2 linked regions of the Lepisosteus oculatus genome follow. The protein of the gene in region 1 purifies or fractionates together with the protein of each later gene. This does not show direct contact. Links are inferred from orthologs where the notes say so. Each region holds a gene or a part of one and is shown on either strand. Other genes may lie near its edges.

What was found. Proteins that work in one complex are often made in the same cells at the same time.
Region 2: the proteins of pard3aa (region 1) and prkci purify together in Homo sapiens (affinity purification with western blotting; 5 studies listed by BioGRID and IntAct, with this or other methods). This does not show direct contact. The link is inferred for Lepisosteus oculatus from reciprocal best matches to the Homo sapiens genes PARD3 and PRKCI.

Annotation. Positions count from the first base shown.
Region 1 is NC_090701.1:38,416,388-38,426,140, reverse strand, and holds the start of pard3aa (partitioning defective 3 homolog), read right to left. Parts: upstream 4,457-9,753; 5' UTR 4,207-4,456; coding exon 4,087-4,206; intron 1-4,086. UniProt on the Homo sapiens protein: Adapter protein involved in asymmetrical cell division and cell polarization processes. Seems to play a central role in the formation of epithelial tight junctions. Targets the phosphatase PTEN to cell junctions.
Region 2 is NC_090708.1:13,870,016-13,880,402, forward strand, and holds the start of prkci (protein kinase C iota type), read right to left. Parts: upstream 3,940-10,387; 5' UTR 3,602-3,939; coding exon 3,519-3,601; intron 1-3,518.

The sequences.
Region 1 (9,753 bases):
AGAGTGGTAGGATTCTCCTAGTTACTCTCTCCAAAGGGTTAAGAAAAGGCAGACCCCATGGCTTCCATTACAACGTTAATACACCCCTGGTACTACATTGCAGGTTCAGAATGAAAATTCTTGGCTCTTTTCAAAACACACAAGGAAATGCCTTATGTATGAGGTCTGAATGTATGGTTTACTTGACTGTCATTTCTTAGGAATTCACCAAGTAATTTTTGCACAATTTTCCAAGCAAATACTTCTTCCAAAAGCAATGCAAGCTTCTGGCAATACCATCTTTAGCTCTGATACAGTATCTGGAACCCAGAAAAGGATTTAAGGACAAGTCTGCAATATAAATAATTTCACAAGTCTGTAACTGCTGAAAATTGCATGTTACATGCATTAAACATTAAATCATTCTGTAGTCATTTATTATAGTTATACAGTAAATAAAAAAACGTATTTGACATCTCCTTCCTCTAATTGAAAATCTCTCAATGTAAGCACTGTCAATAGATTATCCCAATAACTCTGGCAGTGAATCTCTGATTAAAATAAAAGTCAATTTTAGTTCTTAGATATGTGAACTTATGATTGAATGTTCAGGTTCACAACTTAACCCTGAACACATTGTGTTCCTATCTTTAATAGTAAAATGTATGAATCAAGTACTTGGTGAAACAGAAATTTGAATTGTGTTTGCACATGGAAGTACATAAAATCTACTATAACAGTCAAGTCCAATAATTTTGCAGCATTGTGATATAATTGGATGCTGCTTATAGTGTAGTTTCCTTGCACTGTTTTTCATGCTTTTTAATTTTGTGTATTTATAAAATATAGCTACTTTGATGCAAGACAAAGTTCAGAGAAATCAGACAAAGTACTATGATTTAATTAACTCAAAAGCACAAAAGGTTTTTTAGACAGGAAGGCTTGGTGAATTCTATAACCATATTACAATTTTTAGTTTAAAAAGTCACACAACTACATGAATGGCCTATTCAGTAATAATCGTAGTCCATATAATTTAACAATAAATATTACTGTCTCTATAAGGACCTGCATTCAGGTAGTGCATCTGAGGCAAAGATTCAACTATCAAGCCTAAGTAGCTTTCAAAACAACTACAGATCAGAAGAAGGATATAAAAACACTGGAAAAACTCTTAATATCTCTTTGAGCACGGTGAAGTCATTCATTAAGAAGTGACAAATACACAGTACTCTGCCCCAGGCTTCCTGTCCAAACTGAGTCAAACAACAGCACCTTTGAAAGAGCTACAGAGTTCAATGACTGAGACAGCAGAAAATGTCAATGTGTCAACAACCTCCTAGTCACTCCACAAAGCTGGTCTTTAGGGCAAAGTGGCAACCCATCTCAAGTCATGGGGTGTACAACAAAGTGTTTAAGTAATATTGCAAACACGAGGCAAAAGGTTTTGTGGTCGGACAAGGTAAAATATAGGCTCTTTGTTCTAAATGCAAAAGCTCTACACATGGCATGAATCCAGCACAGGATGTCACCCAGTCAGCACCGTTTCTACTGTAAGGCATGGTGGTGGCAGCATTATGATATGGGGGGGCTGTTTCTCATCAGTAGGGCCTGGGAACCTGTCAAGATTTTGTTTTTGCGGGTTTTATTGACAAAACGTCTTTCACTCATAGACAAGTTCAGTAGGTGAATACTTCAGCATGGCACAGTATGTGGCTGGAACTTGCATCGGAGACTCAAGTTCTTGAGTTATGAAATGTGATGTAACCAACACAACCCAGTGCTCTGCAAATTTCCCTCAGTGCCTTCCTACTCGTTTGTTTTCTTTGGCGGTGCATATTGAAAAGGCAATGCTTCAAGCATCTCTTTCCCTGGAAACCTGATTCTAAATGCTTTAATGAAAATCCCCGCCATTAAAGCTAAAACGAGAAAGAATCAACAATGTCCAAATTCAAATACTTGAAAAAAATGTATTGCCACCTTTCTTAACCAAGGAGATTGATTCTGTATTACTGCAGCATGGATGTCCAAGTGTTGTTAGGAGATGGAAAAGTATGTTTCTATAGTCACCTCCCTTCATTACCTCAAGGTTTTGTGACAAAAACCTTTATTACTTAAATACACACATTTCTCCTTCTGACATAACTACTGTATTTTAAACTGATATAAATGATCAAACACTTCAGTACTCTAATAGGAAGGTGTCGCTTTACAGGAGACAGAAATGTTTAAACAACTGGCAAATGAAATTCAGAACTGCAACAGGCTTTCCTAATCCTAAAGACAGGTAAAAGCTTCCATTCATGAGGTTCAAACAGGGTAAAATTGTTTGAAACCTCTTTGAAATTAATCGGCTTGAATTTCTTTACGGCTATTTTACAAGCTCCCAACCCTCTGAAATGTTTCAATAATAATGTTGCGAGGGTGTACAGTAACTGAAACCGCTTTGTAGCTGTGATAGGGCAGTTACTCCGATACTCGAAAGTACTTTTAAACAGTAACTAGACTTCAGTCTCTGCCTCTTGAAGCTTATAACCACTAGCAGTTTAAGTGCTGCTTTTTTCTTGTTAGCTAAAACAAATATCATGAATTGTTTACAACGGATCTGTTAACTTCCTAAAGAAAATGACTCGCTATATTAAAAAAGACCTACTTTGTAAAATATTCTTCACAGAAAAACAAACGCTCCAAATGATGCTCTGTGGTTAAACACTGTTCTGAATGGGTATTGTAAAGTAGAAGATACTGCTAGAAAACAAGTGCACTTTCAAAATGTTACTCTTCACTTTACATACCAGAATTGTCTGAAAAAATTATATCATTCAGCAGGGTGATGTTTTATCATATTTGGATGTACTACAACAAGGAAGATACCGGTATTAAGAATTTGCTACACAACTAAGCGATATAATATGAAGTAGTGCTTTGGAAATCCATGTGTGTGTGACATAAACCAAACTGTAGGTATTTAGCCGATAGCCGACTGCTACTTGTAATAACTTCCCCATGAAACTCATTGCTGTCCCGATGTTATGTCGCCAGAAACAGCACACTGGAGTGTTACGTGATCGCACCAGTAGACATATTTTAAAAAAAACTAAAATAAGGAATTCAGAACAAATCACTGCTACTTATTCCCCCCTCTGCAACCTTACAAACCTGGGCGAACAATGATAAATGGCAGGGTTTTGGAGTCGCAATTCAGTGTCTGTGTAACTCAGTATTCCTGGAATACTAACCAGTGTCTTTACAGATGCAGTTTCCCTCCCTATCCTCCAGGGCCTGGTGTATTCAGGAAGCCTGGGGCTGGATTTGAAGCTTTTTAGCTTGTTTTGTTTTTATCTATTCCACATGAAGTATTCCCAACTTAAACCATAAAAATAGTGTGAGCATTAAAACGTATTTATTTCTGCGCATTTCGTTTTCAAAACATATGTGCAAATACACGCACCCTTTGATTTCGGCTGGTCCCTAACCAATCTACCTCCACTGTAAACTGCGCTTGAACAAAGCGATAAATAAGCTCACTGCATTTAAAAATATATTGACCATGAATAAAGTACTCGCGGTCGTATTAGGAAACTGATTTTTGCCAAATAAAACCACGTAACCAGCTTAAAGTTTGAAATCTGCAATTTGAAGGTTTACCAGTAATAGACAACGTTCAAACATGGCTTTTAAAAAGTATTAAATTAACGGTAGCTTTCAGAAAAATCTAAATCGTTGCTTAAAATACATTTTACCAAACTCGCCAGTGCGCCAATCAAAGAAAAACTGTCCCTTTAAATAACGTTCAAGTAAGGAACTTTTGCGGGTTTACAACAGCCGGGTCCCGCCGCACTTAAAACACAAAAAAAATATACAAAACTGTTAAATCTGACTACTACGCTACAACCCAGACTAACCCTGAAGTCGCTTCTTTCTCAATCAGCGCCCGTCTATCTCTACAAATTAATCAATAGACCTTTAGGATTTCCCTTCCTTCTCTTTTTTCTCCCAGAAAAGCGCCATATTGAGCTTGCCGCACCATTCCTTGGGTTACAACATTGTTTCCAATGGGGAATTTTTTAAAGCACCAAAGCACAATACGAAGTAAAGAAAACTTACCTTCGCAATAGCTTTTTTGTATCTCATCACGGCTTGTTGAATAAGGCTGTGAACTTTAATATTTCCATCGCCACACGGAACCACCACCCTGGTCCTTCCAAAACACACTGTCACTTTCATAGTTACCGATATTTTCCACAAATCCCAAATCCAGAAGAAAAATAAAGGTGTAGTTTTCGTATGTAAAACCCTCCTTGGGACGTATTTCCTTTGGACTTGCAAAAAGTAGATCCAAAAGAGAGAGAAACGCGAAGCTTTTCACCTTTTCTCCATGGTCGCTTTTTTAAGATGTGTGTTTCTGACCACCTGTTTAATGTTTCTGCGATCCTACTCTGATGTGCTGGCTAAACTGAAGCAGAAAAGAACTGAACTGGGAAACCATCTCCCCACCCTGGTCACTGCGAGTATTGAAGCTCTTGAAACTTCACAAGCAACCTCATTTCACATACTGTATACTGTAAGTCTCGGGAGTGTCGTTGCCCCCTCCTCTTTAATAAAGATGATAGGTAAAATATGTTATCAGTTTATACACAAGTACAGAACTCAAGTGGCTTATAAACTATATTTGCTCTTAAAACTGTGATTACTATGCTAAGCATCCCTTTAAAACTGTTGATATATCACTCCAAATGAGTTAATCAGCTAACACGAAAATGCAATCTTTTTGTACACTTAATGCCGATTATTATTTGGATTTAACTAATCTAATTTCTTAATTTATGTATATGTAACTAAAACTTGTTTTGTTTAGCTTTAAACCAACTGAGCAGACATGAACAGAACATTTTTAGTTTTCTGACGTGAACATAGCCCGTTGAATATATCTGCATAAAAGTAATGCAATAAGCCACTAAAGCTGTTACACTGTAGCTTACCGCGAAATATTATCATTTATCAGGACTGCAAAGTCTGCGAGTCGCGTTGGGTTACAATGTACTGTATAACGCTTGAAAACCTAAAAGCTAGCGCAAGGAACTGTTTTTTAACTGTCACAGATGTACATTATTAATTATTATTATTATTATTATTATTATTATTATTATTGAGCGCAGATGTCTTGTTCTACACGGAGCAGCGGTTGGCGTATTAGTATTAACCTATTGGCGACAAACCTGTTCGAGCAGAGGAAATGGTGGACAACTATCAATTTTTTGTTCAGCAAGTTAAAATTAGGTCTCTCTGTGCAACAGCAGACCCACCAACATATAATAAACAGTTTTTTTTTTCAGCACAGGCTTTCAGTCTCAATTTGGTAAAAACATTATATGGAAATGCAATTGATATTCATCAATCTCAATCACGCCAGCGGTTGCATTCCTGGTTTTTGAGGGCCGCTAGTTTCCTTCCACCTGACACTTCACGTGCTTAATTGAGTTAATTAGCGACTACATCACTGGATATGCTTACGAAAGTAGTCATTTTTTAAACAAGTTTTAAACACACAAAAGCTTTCCACAACCTCAGCCCTCGAGGGGCAGTATTGCTCATTACGAATACAAACGTGCAAAACTAATCGATGTCAAAACGCACACACAGCGCCAAACCTACAGTAACTAGCAGCTATTTAACTGTTCATCGTTTTCACGCATAGTCGTTTTTGACCAGACTGAATCCCTGCACCCCTGTGGATTCAGTCTCTGGGGAAATCAATTGGGTAAAAGTATTTACAAAACTTAAATAATATGATTTTTAAAATCTGTTTCTTTGATAAAGCAATCGTAAAGTATATTTAAAAACTCTAGATAACCCAACAGAATTGAAACTGTTTCAATTGGAAGTGCCATGAACGGTGTTATTGAGTCATATAATGTGCTAAAACTATTTCATACTGTCTTTCAGGTGTTGTAGTTATATTTAGTGTGGTTAATAAGCTGTGAAAAGCTTGTGATATATGGATTCTTTGAGATAAACGGTGTAACTCAATGACACAATGGAAGGTACAAATGATATAAGACATTTGATGAAGATGAAGTTGTACATTTAGCTGATCGATCTTCAACTTATTCAACATACCTAATTTTCTAGTCACTGATGCTGCTTCTCCTGCATCCCCTGGTTGAAATACACTCATCTACAGTATGTGTCGCATTAAAATAAGGTAACAAAATTCAGACGAACAGAAGCCTTCACTTTGTCGGCAAAGGTTTTAGCATTTCCACAGGTAAACTAACGTGCAGAAACCACACAGTTGACGAAACTTTTAGAATTAGGCAATATTTTCACCCCATAAAAAATGTAAGAATTTATAGAAATAATAAAATATTAAATAAAATATAACATTTATTTATATTAATACTATAATAAATTAAATGCTTGACTTGATAAATTCAAAATTGAGTTCTCACAGGATGACTGCCAGCATTTCTGGTATTGTTTTTGCCTCCAAGCTGTATGCACAAGAGTACAATTGCAGTTATTTTTCTTATTGGATTTGTACATGCATTTTGCTATTTAAATTCTGTCTTAAGGTCCAATTCCACGTTGCAACCTTATTGGAGTATTTCTTTTTTATATTCTGCCTTTTCCACAATGGAAAATCAATTTGCTCCTAACTAACATTGTTTTCAGCTAAACTGTGCCAGCAGGAGGAGATGGGCTTTTTTCAATGACGGTGGATGTCACTTTAATTCAAATCTGAATATCTGTGCTCGTCAGCATTAAAGCAGAACACATTTTAAACATTTCCTCGTTTAAGACTACGCAACAAAAAAATCCCTTTTCAACCTATCAAGTACATATTGTACTTAAGTGTCCTTCAAGTATTTATTGCCACACTGTTCTTTGCAATCTATCTTCAAGGGCACTGGAAAATAAGAACGATGACCAAAACTTCACGTTATCAAGACATGATAGAAATGCTTTATAAAGTTGAACATTGTGCTTCCTTTAGCTTCTTTTGTTCAGTCCCATCGCACAGTGGATCTATTAGAGAAGTGACAAATTCCTCCATCAGCATTACTTCAATAGGAGGTTCATTCACGTTTGATGAGATTGTCCTAGCCCAGAGTGGGATTTAGCCAGGACACCGGGATTAACGGTTTTACTCTTTCAAAAAGTGGTAGGGGATCTTCAGTGACCGACCATGTAATCAGGGCCTTGATTTCACATCTTGTCTGAAGCATAGCACCTGCTACTATGTTGTGGTTGTGACCCCAGTCAAAATACTGCATTGGTTTGGAAATTCAGGTCCAGAGAAAGAGTGTTACCTACTTGTCTGTCGGCACCATTTGGATCTCCTTTGAGGCCTCCCATTCCAGCTGTTCTTGGCTCAGGCTACAAAGTGGTATTGCTTCTGTCAGGATCCCAAAGTGCCTTACACCGACCCATTTAATCTACTAACTAAAGTGCAGCATGCACCTAGGTGACATGTAGCCGTATTATGCATCAGAAGCCCCAGTCACAGGTGTAGAAGGGAGAAATTACCAGTTGAATAAAGGTGGAATTGTGGACAGACCAGAGTGGAATTGTACGCAGGACAGTGAGGTTCTAACACCTGTTCGTATGAGCTTCAGTCTCACCTGAAGGGCAGCATCTCCCACAACACAGTGATCCCCATTCTGGAGCACTGGTTTGGAACATGTGGACCAGAGGGGAGAGTGCCACCTAGTGGTTCTCCGGCACCACTTCCAGTAGCAAGCTGGTTTTTTCTTTGAGGTCTCCTATCCCAATACAGACCAGGCCCAGTCTTGCTTAGGTAATGAGATCTCACAAGATCAGGCTAGAAGCTGGCAATGCTGCCCAAGAGTAAAATTACCTCCATAAAATACATTCACATCCTTAATTATTTAAAGCTGTAACAGAGCAATGTAAAGAGATTCTGGTTTTATCATAGTGAACACAGTTTCAATATACCGTATTATAAAATAAATTTGATAACATTAGGCAAAATGAAGTAATTATTGCTGAGAAACCAAAGTGTAACATTCTCCATAATTATAGTATACTGTAGCTTTAATAGTTCCTCTCCCTGGAGTGATTTAGGACCAGACAGCAAGTTACTGAACCACATAAATAACATCTGGAATCAGAATTTGTATGCTATCATGTGACAGGGAACCTTCCAAATGGCTTAAAATTATCAGGTATAATCATATAGAGAGATGCACTCAGAATTCACAAGAAAAAAAATAAAATCATTGACAGTTGTTAGCTGTGCATGAGGTTCTCTGAATGGAGTTGTAATAGAGAGGTAGAAAGGGTGATTTGGGCACTGGGACAAGTGGGAATAAACAGTAGAAATACTGCATTGATGTGTTAATTGGCACTAATAGTTAACCAGCGGTTGCAAATTACTACCTGAAATGAATCTTTTTGCACTTATTGCACATGCGTACCACCCATACACTCAAAAAAAGTATTTTTCAAACTCAGCAGCTGAGATTTTATGTCACTAGCTAACTGAGCACATACTGTACCATACATAACATTACTCACACTTTAAACAGAGATCAGGTTTGCTGATTGTTTGAGTGGTACCGTTCTTATGCAAAACTAAATCATGTCAAGCAATTCCATAATAACACTAGGGGCAAAGTGTTTAGCATTTGAGTTTGAATTCCCCAAATTTATGAAAGACCTGCATAAACAGACATTCATTTAATTGATGGTAAAACCATGAAAGATACGATTATGTCCTGTTTGAATAATGAAGATCACCTGGTTGCTATTGATCTGCTTGAAGATGACCTATCTGCGAGAGACGTTTTCAAGAGAAAGAGATGCTCCACTTCAACAATCAGCAGACTCCCTCAGAGATACCAGGAGGCCAGGGAACCAGCTCTGTGGGCCAGGCCAAGTCCAGGAAGGTCAGAACACTAGTCCAAGACTGCAGGAACTGCAGAAAATCTTGACTAATTAGTCATCAGTATATTGGATTATCAAAGGTGTTGCTCTCTTGATAAGTGGGGCATATTAGTTTTTTTCTGGTTTTCTTATTGTTCACAAGGCTTGACATTCAACGGATAATTCACATCATCTCCTGGGGCCAGTCAATTCTCATTAATGAGGTTTATGTAGTTTTTATGTAATAGTCAGAGACAAGTGATGGCATCACTGTTAGAAATGAATGATCAGTTAATGAAAAGGCTGTCAAACACATTTCATCACTATCCCAAACTGACATAATTTATTATCTAAGAACATAGATGCATTAATATAAGAAGTTGCTTCTGATGTCTGGGATATGCCAAAAAGATTCTAGTATTATCAAAAACACAATTCAACTTTGTCAGACCTTATGGATATGATGAAAAGTTGATATTGTACTGCCTACAATCTTACCCCTCACAACAGAAATCAAACTTGTCCCCAACACACATTAAGGACGTGCATAACCCTTTGTGTACAAATCTTCCCCTGGCTGTTAGTTGTAAATATTTCCCCCCAGTTTCAACCTGTGCCTTGTGGTTTGTATTTCACAGATGGATCTGTAGTCCAAAAGGCTGACTTTGTCAGGGCCTTTGAAGACTATGGCCAGGGATTTGAACTTGCCTCTACTTGGCCCTATACCAAATGGTTGCATGTCACACATATTTACTTCAAACAACTGACTACTGGCTGGATCAATTAATGGTAACTGAACCTTGAAACTGTCGCAATGGCAAGGGAATTCAGAACAAAATTAACAAATGCTTACAGTTAAAAAAAAGCTGAGGTAAAAGGAATCCA
Region 2 (10,387 bases), on another chromosome or scaffold:
CCTGCATTTCTGTAGCTCAAAGGCCTGACTAAAAGCTAACTCTTCCATGCTTAACATTAAACAGATCTTTTGTCCATTCTTGTGTAAAGTTGCCATAATGCCAAATACTACAGATCTTATTGGTAAAGACAACAAGAACAAAATACACCGGTTAAATGAATTCAATGTTAATCTGCCAATACTGGGGTAGATGAAACATGCAGTTTTTCATAATGCTTCATTAATTTTTTTTTATTAAGTTCTGTTTCATGTCCAACTGTGTAATTTTTTATAGTGCAGGAAAATCGCAGGAAAACCTTAAGGTCTCCTAGTTGTGGCAGCTGTTTTTCATAGGGAATAAACAACTGCTTAATTTTGTTTCTCTCTTAAACTGCTTTGAAAACATCTTCAGTGCTGGTTTTGGGGCTGATGCAACAGAGCTACAAATTGTTCAACAAAACAAATGTTTTTTTTTTTACCATACCTCCCACTCGACAGCATAAGAGTGGGACATTATGTGTACTGCATAGTGTGTTTCATCTTAGCTGGAGAAAGTGGTTTTCCTATTACAGATATTATAGATCGAGATGAATTTAGTATATTCTTTGTAATTTTATATGCCTTCAAATATTTTGTGACTAAGTATTTCGATCTGCTGCTAAAGGATGTGTTAGGTGTGGTCACTACTGCATAACGAGCTCAATGGGTCACACCTTTCCCTCAGTGAAGCTTACGACAAAGTGAGTCTTGCCATTCTCCCACTCCTCAGGGTATTTTAGATTTCTCCTGCTGGGTGTATGGATGGAAATGCAGGCTTTATTCTTAAAAGTGAACATGTGTCCTGCATTCACCCACATTACAGAAGGCTATTAATCTAAAAACATCTATTCTGACGCTTCAGTCCAGCTCTGATGCCTTCAGAAGCCTTCGCCTCCATGCTTCTCTTAGAGTATAGTTGAGAGTTATTCTATAACCCAACTAAATACGTTTTTTAAAAGAAATCAACTTCATTTAAGCTGCAGCAGTCATGGGGTCAAAACAGTGCCACCGCTGAGGTCTGAAAGATCGGAATGTCAGAGGCAATAAAATCCTTTTCGTAAACGCGGTTTACATGTTTGTGAATAACCGTAAATCATGGCTATGCATTAATGTTGTGCGATATTATCCAATAATAATCAAATAAAAATAATAACATTTTTTATTTGGTATAGCTCCTATAAATGCATCTTCTCAAAGTGCTTAACAGTAAGAAAAAAAGGGGAGAAGATAACAGAATTAAGACAAGTAAAAATTAGCTTTGGGCCATTGCAAGAGAAAGCCCTGTTACCCCCTGTACGCAGACCAGTATGAGGACAGACAGCAGAGTGGGGTCAGACAAACGAGAACTGCGAGGTGGGGAGTAGGACGATAATAAGTCAGTATATGACTACGCAACACCTACAGTACAATACGATGTTTTATTAAAAAGAATACTTGAATCAAGTGTCAGTCAGCTACTGCGAGTCTACTCCTTTCAGAAATGCACAATTGGAAGCTTCACTTCAGTGCGGTTTGTTCTGTGCTGTTTATCTTGGCAGGCATGTGCTTTTTCTCCACTCCCTATCTGGACAATATCAAGGTCAGCGACTGAGATAAAACCCAAAGGCCCGAGGCAGACGTTCATGACCTCAGGTGAATACAGAGCTGTCCTACAGTGTGCTTTCACCAAGCATCAGTTTATTTCAAAATGTTCTGTTTATGCACAAGAACAAGACATTTTTTGGCAATTTTTATGAATTCAGAAATTCATGCAGACATGTATACAAAGGGGCTTCTTTTTTTACTGTTAGCATTTCATAAGCAGATATGGTCCTGTAAATATTTCAGAAATACTCTGCATTCTTTATTTGAAAAGAAACACTTCTGAAATGTCAGAAATGTACAACAGCACACATGCAGTGACAGTGATTGGGATTGCGAAAGGTCAGAAGAAACTCATCTGACAGGTTTTTCATGATTCAGCACACCATTGTTAGCGCCTTCCAAAATGTAAGGTAAAGTACAACTTCCACATAAAGCTTTCCATCTTACAACTCAACTGACTTACGCAAACCTCAAATTAGCAAACCGTTTAGAAGCACAGATAGATCTTAACAGGTTACAGTATCTCATTAGATGAGTCAAAGACAGAAATCTAAACAAAAAATCAAAAATGGCAAAGAGCAATTATTCAGACTGTGTTTTCTGTGAGAGTAACAGAATACCTGTGGCTCAGGAGGATGACACCTGAAACGGAACAAACCTCTTCATACGGTATGACATCAACAAAATTCTTCACATTCTATAACTACATGCTCGAAAACTCTATTTTTCGGTCCTAATCGCTTGAAAATAATCAGACGTCATTGCACTTCAATGATGGAAGTGTATTCTCTGCTATATATAAAGTGCTCTGGGCACCTCTGGGGTGAAAAGCAATATATACAAATGCAATTAATCCTTTCTCTTACTGCCTTCATTAGAATAACCTCAGTTTACAAACAGGAATTGCTACAGGACTCCACTGTGCCAGGGCTGCCACCTCTCCGCACAAATCTCACTAAACAAAAAGCAAAAACAGACAACTCCATCCACACGTCTTTACTACGGCGCTAGACATCCCCGGCTCTCACTTGAGACACAGTTCACCGAGCTAGTGTGCAAAGATCTCCCTTGATACTTAAGATGTTTTTTTTTTTAAGCTGCAAGAGAAACAAGGTGTGCCAAGGCGTAAAAGGTTACTGCTACTACCGCAGCCGCACAACCTGTCCGTGCGGGTCTCGGGCTCCGCGCAGCTTCACTCTACGGCAGCTCCGTCAGTGGTCATCAACATGCGACACCAACACCTACATTACGCATTATTGAGTAGGTGGCATTCTGTTAGCCTTAAAACACGAGTCCCGTCCAAAGCCAGTGGCTAAGATGAAAAATCGTGTCCTGAAAATGCCCTGATTTCAATTGTTTTCCTTACACGAAACGGCTTCAAATTCTGAATGAAAAGAACAGCGCATCGGTACCATTGTGACCATTCCTCGATGTGTACTCATCGGTTAATCACACAGCATAGTTAAGAACATCGTAGGTGTAAAAACGAGGCTTGTTGCGACTTGACTTTAATATTATTAATGGCGAATGAAGGATACCATACCCAACGAATTTAAACAATAAAGCTCTGAAAAGAGTTCACGATCGTAGCCCTGGGATCGCATTCCTTAAACCAGAACTCTACCAAGTTTGGTCTGTGGGAGAAAACTAAAAAAAGGTTTCTGATCTGCCATATCTTTAAAACATGAATGCCCTCCCTATCAAGTTAGGTCTCCGGTGACGTCCGTCACCTCCAAACATAGGTTACAAACAAGAATGGTAGTTATCCGATCCAAGAAGATTTCACCTGCTAGGTCGCACACCGTGTGGCTAAAACCATTCCTCAAGTAAAACACTCCTCGTTTCTTTTCAGTACAAATTTCAAAACAGCCACCCTAATCCGGACCGATCCAGCCAATATACTGATTTCCACTCACCCCTTATAATAGGCTTTCACCCGCACTTGGTTAGGATTCTCTCCTGGGTGGGACATAGTACTGTCCCGCAACGTAGGCATCATAAGCTCCGGTACCTGGACCCCCGCTTTCACTGAACAAACCACGTCTCGAAATCGATTTCAATGCCTCTCCTCGGTCTTCGCGTGCAAAGTTGTAGTAAAATGACATCAAACTTAAAACATTTCCCCGTTAACGAGTATCAACTTTCGTGGTCTTCCTCTAAAAACACTCCCTACTGCAGAGGCCTCGCAACCGACCGTGCCAACCTCGGCATGTAGGGGGGGGGGGAGGGGGGACACCCTTCACGCGAATGAAGGGATAAAATGAACACAAAAATGATCAACTACAAACGAAAATATTTCATAGTTCAGGCATCTCCTATTTCAGGAGTACACAGAATGCAAATATATAGTTACGCTTTTTACGGTTCACCCCTACTAAGAAAAATGGACGTGCTAGCCGGCATTCCGATTATACCATGCCAAACGTAGGTGGAGCTTAGTTGATCAAACAATAACAAAAGAAATAAAAACTGAACACTCCGCGGCTATATAAAAATCGGTTTATTTTATACTGCATTAGAATGGTTTAACTAACTTATTTTTTCGTGCTGCAACAAATTACACAACAGACAGTTTTATTGCTTGATCATTTTCAAGGATGAAAGACCCAGAACCAAAACATTTCCTTGCCATGTCGCAGAGACAAATACCAGCCGTCGCTCATGGGAAATGTAGTTTTTTACATAAGGAAGCTCATTTGTTATTTCAGGGATCACATTTTTATGGATCATATGAGGTCGAACATTTTCACCGCAACCGCTTTCTGTCGGGGTCCTCATTAATATATATGGCTATTTGTTGCTCGTGTATTATGGATGGCACCGCCATTCTCTTGTCAATAACATCCCGATCTGTTTGCAGAAACGTTCGGTAAATGTCATAACTACAAACCAGAGAAAATAACCACTGTGATTTTTAAATACTCCCCATTTTCGTTTAAGCTTCAGTTTCAGCAGCATTTTTATTTCGTATATCTGATTTTCAGAAATATATCCCATCCGGTACAACTTGTTTAACCACAATCCACGGTTTATTATCCATTGCGGGACAAAAAAAGATTATTTAATTAGCATTAAATGACAATAACGTGTTCAACTAAATGGTTTTCGCATGTGGTGGCTACAGCACCAGAGCTGCCGTTTCACAAAATTCTTAAAAACACGAGTAACTTCAAACATACAGTAGGTACAGTAATATGTTAAAAGTAGTGATAATATTTTTTATTAACCGATAAAGTTCAGCAAACTGGAATTACGGAAGAAAAAAATGGAAAACATGTACACCGTGAACCAATTTTAAAGATGATGAATGTTTATATGTGTTAAAATATGTAATGTATGTGATAATACAAACATCAATATACGGTGTATTCAAGATAATCCCCAGGTTAGCAATGGTTATATATTAATAAAACATGTTTCTTCTTGATTTTCATTCATCACTACATTTACTCGTGGTAACTAATACGTTTTCTCCTATGCCTCAATATAACAGTGAAAAACCGATCGTTTCTGGGTGATCCCCCTAATTTGCAATGATACCGAATCAAAGATTATGCCAAAACAGTGCACGATGTATTTTCTAATTTCTAGTCTCAGGTCTCAGATGGTGAAGCTTTTTGCATGTTTTCATCTGCTCCTCCTGTTTTCTTCTTACTTCTTCCAATGTTAAAGTTCCCCCTGCAAAATATTTACACAATATGGAAATAATTATATTTCTTCATTAGAACAATTAGAATCAAAGCAAAACAAAGCACGACTACTGTGCCATAAAACTTTCTTTAGGACCACTGAGGACCCTTAAACATGGAAGAAGGAAACCCTATTTTCATCCAAGCTAAATACAGTAAAAATAACAAATATGATGTTACTAGAGGATCTTATTTTCTTTTACAAGAAACTCTTTAGTTTAAGACAAGACCTCGGTCGGGTTCTGAGAATAATGTGCTCTACTACGCCCTGTAGTGGTCAATTGCAACACTGCAGATTATATAGCTATTGTTATTACTAATATGAGATGTACTGAATATGTTAACACTGTCTCACCCAAATTGCCTTATATAGCACGTGTGACTGATTTACACAGAGAAGGGGCCTACTTAATCCTCCTCTGAAGCTGAATTAAAAGGGGCATCTTCAGGAAACTCAGATTGCACAATCCAGTCACTGGGATTAACACTCTACCCCTTTGAAAAGAGAAATGGAATCTTAAATGACCAACAAATCTGGACCCTGATTTAGCTTCTCATACAAAGGACATCACCTCCAACAGAAAAGCTCCTCTGGTCACTCCAGGTTTGGAAATTGGTCCAGAAGGGAGATTATTATTATTATTATTATTATTATTATTATTATTATTATTAATAATAATAATAATAATATTAAATACAATGAAGACATACATTTCAGCTGCTTGTGACCGGATTCAGAGAGTACTCACCTACAGCACTTGGGACAAAGGACACATGGCGCACTTTCTTATTAAGTTTGAAATTTTCCAGCGCTGCCAGTTCAACTTCAGCTCCTTTGTCAGCCATCATAAAGAAATGGTGAGAAAAATGTCTAAGTCATTTAGTCTGTTCAGGATCCCCAGTATCAGATGTTTAGACATTTTTTTTAAAAAAAAAGAATAAGAATAAGATATTAACAAATATTTTTTTCTTTTTATGTTGAATGTGTGGATGTTTGTCTCCTATTTATCAAATAACTGACAGTGTTCTTGTTTTTTTCTGCATGTTGCTCCAAGAAAAAGAAATAAAATGTACTTTTCTGTAGTTCATCCCTCTTCTTTGGATTGGGAGGGATCATTGTAAATGCCCCGTAACTGCAACAAACCAAACAAAAATCATCTCTTAGAATTAGATCTTTGGTGGTAAGCAGAATCTAGAGGGGAATATTTTCTGTCACACCTACTAGCATTGAAACACATAGGGATCAATTGGATAATTATGCTCAGAACTATATCAATGATACTATTTTTAAACGACACATTAAACTGATCGGTACACACAGTTCAGATCTCTGTTAGGAATACCTGTTTGTTTTTATTACGGAGAAGGACCTCTTTTACAAACTAACGACGCGACTTGGGGGTTAAAAGAAGAGTAGGATAAACAATTATTTACCTTTGTGTGGCACTTGGAGACTTGTCGTGTTTTTTCTGAGCACGCTGATCGTTCCCACTGCACGTTATAGCTTTAGGCTTTGATGTTACTGCGTTCGGTTTTGTTTTTCTCCCATTTGGGGTCTCATAACTAGCACCTCCGCTGGGGTCACGGGCGTTGCTATGGTTACCTCCGGTACAGCCAGTGGCTCTGTTTCTTTTGGAAGCGCAACAAACCGTCGGTAATTTCGGTTTGGCTTCCGCAGTCCTCAGTTTTACAACCCCGGAGTATGACATGCTGCACCACAAACAAAAAAGGAAAAAAATATCTAAATGCAACGTACCGAAACGTTTTAAATTACTTAGGGAAACTACTACGAGCAGTCACAAGGCTGGAGCTAATGACTTGCCACCACTACCTAACATTCAGATTTTTCTACTTATCACGGCATGAGATTTTTAGTCTTGTAGACGAAAAACAGCTATCCCGTAGAACTAAAGGAGAGTCACAGTTTTAGGCAAATATAGACATAAATACCCAATCCGATTCTAATAGATCTTGACAGGATTGATCCGATTAGAGCTCGGGTTACATCTGCAAAGAACTCTGGGAGCTGTAGTCAGTGCCGTGTAATTCTCTTGACCAGCTCTGATGTTGTTTACTGTCTCAGCTGCAGCACCTTATTCTAAGAGTTAAATTGCCTAATCTTAATGGTATCCAACAGATACCAATGATCATTTTGAAACATTCGTAGGGTTTTAGAAACGATTGTGGAAGTAAAATGATTGCCATTTATGAAGACGAAATGTTCTTATTTCAGAAGTTGTCACATAACCCTAGGACGAAAACTAAAAGGGAAGCAAAAGGGGGAAAACTATGTGGTTACATTTGTACAAAGGTGAAATGTGCTGGTGAAATAGTTTAAAGTGTACGTAAAAAAGGCCTGTTGTATGTCATGTGCTCGTTTGTGCATGGACACATTGCTGTACAAAACATTTATACATTTGAGGGGTAATCGGTAAGGTACATCATAAAAGGTGTGTCCTGGGGTTGAGTAAAAGACTTTTGATATCCGAAAATAGCGATATAAATAGTCCTTTCATTTTCATATTTATTTGCTGGAGAAATATGATGGAGATTTGTTGCAGAAATCGCCGGCGAGAGAAATCAGAAAATAGGTATATCCATTTATACGATAGCAAACAATCATCCTCTTCTTGACGATACTGGAGATAACACTTTGCAATGAAACATGTTTGTCGACTTGCATTACTCTAGAAATGCATTTAAATCTATAGATTTTGTTATATCAATTCCAAACTGACTCAAACTGATATTCACACAATTCAAAGAAACGCCAGACACCCAGAGAGGCATATATCGTACGCTCCCCCAGGTGGGCGACCGTTAAATACTATGCGAATGGTATTTTACAGTTTGCGAGTACTTTCTGTCAAAGGTGGGCGACATAACAGAAGCTTTACTGTCGGGTATTAACTGTCAATACATGAGGCAGAGAGAGCGAGAGAGCTGGGTAGAGGGAGGGAAGGAAAGAGAAAGAGAGGGAGAGAAGGAGAAAGGTGTTCTGCACGCCTGTTCTGTAAATACAGTAAAGACTTCACAAAAGAAATCTGAAAAGTGTCTGGTTGTGTAAGGTCCTCCTACACTGCAAGTGGTGCTGTATCTATTTTTCCTTTCTGTCTGTACGTAGCTTTTTGTTTTTATCTCCATTTTAGGGAGCATTGACGCATTAAGACATGACTGGGACTGTAGCAGTCTGAATCTGTGGTACGGTCACTTCGAGATGGGTTATGCCTAATGTTAATTCCAGGCAGGTAAATAGATTACGAGAACAACTTAAATTCGTGCATGTATGAGATGCGTAGCCGTTTGAAGAGGAACGGTTATGCAATGACAAATAATTATCTTTCTGTAGCTTATAACTGTAGTATGTGAATGGATATGAAAAGAGGAAAACGCTGTTTACGGCATACCTGCGTATTTCTTTGAGAAACAGCCGCGATTGCACCTTCAGTTGACATGTTCATTAGAGTAGCAGTAAGTGAACGAGATGCCTATATATGCTAGTAAACAGAGCAATCCGCCTCACTTACGCCCTTATAGTAAGATGGAAAACAAAGCTTCATAAAATAATAAAGTAATTCCTACTACTAAAGCTGTGCGTGTTTTAGGAGCTTTTTTTGTGTGTGGAGATTTTGGAGAAGCGGTCTGTGTCCATTGTAATATGTCAATGTTTGACATTAAAAATGGGAGTTTGTAAAGGCGGACGACTTTTCTGTGAGGTGGTCGTTTTCTGTTTTATTTACCGTTTTTAGATCTATTCTGTATCGTGTTATTTTTCCGGTCCATGGTAATATATCGCTATTGTTTTCAGAACAACACACAGTATAGCTAAGTATTTCGTTTGCTTTTGGGAAGCTTATGGTGTTGTGCATTATTTTGCAGTTTTTTATCGGCTTTTGACACATTCGGGTTACGGTAATCACTTAAGTGATTGGTTGATTGATATTCATATAAAAGACGCATGACTAATACGGAGTGTTTTCTTAATCTAGACTCGAGGTCTAACTACCATATGTTTCAGATTTGTTTTTTCAGGCTGTTAACCTTTATTCTGTATTACTCTGGGAACTGCTGTTTTGTACCATCTGTACTATGTCTTTAATGTTGTCTTTAAAATGACAGCGCGGAAGTCTAATTTATAAATAGCATAAATATTAACTTGGTTTGTGTGTGTCTGTCAATAAGTGTTGTCAAATATAGATGAACCAGTTTTGCTACACTTATTTTTAGGTCTAAAAATACCGTTTTAAGTGCTGCCTGTGATTATTAAAAGGTGTTGTATTATTTATTTGATGTGTACTTCTAATTAATCTGTCCATCTCCAAACGTGTGTTCATTAAAAGAAAAGAATACGTAACTTTATATTGAATTATTTCATTGTAAATACCAACGACTGAGTATACAGCGAAGTGCAAAATGATCAGGTCATCAAAGATAAGATGGTTTTTGAACGCAAATGTGACAATGCAAGAAGAATGATTAAAATGGTATTCAGTCAGATACAATTTATACGATGGAGAGAATAATTGTATCCATATTTAGGCTTTTTTTGGACAGAGTTTAATAACTAACTCCATGTTGTACAGTATGGAGATTGAATCAAGCCTGCAGAAGATAAAAGACTCAAAAGACTCCAGAACTAAGTATCAGTCAATGGATTTTAATTGAGTGGAATTTCATTTAATTGCTGATGTGTTCTGTTAATCAGAGATTACGTTTTAAAAAAAAGTGATTTAGCGTAATGTATGAATATCTGGATGATGTAGGCCTTGTTTTTGCCTTGTCTTCTTTTTAGGAGGCAAAAAGCAATAGCATAAAAGTTCATTTTCGGGTTTTATTTTCTCCAGTCAGCAAAGTTAATATTAATGATGAAACCCCAAATTATACTGAGAAATACGAGACAAAAATGAACTGTTTTCCTGAATATAGTTAATTAGACTTGTAATACAACATTTAAATTATATTGTATATTCCATGAAGAATAAAACGTTTTTTCAGTGATTATTAAGAAAATTACATGCATGAGTAATGTTTTAATTTTCATCTGTAGTTTATTATTTTTCATGAATTGCCCTTTTCCAAAAGTAGTTGGTTTTGTC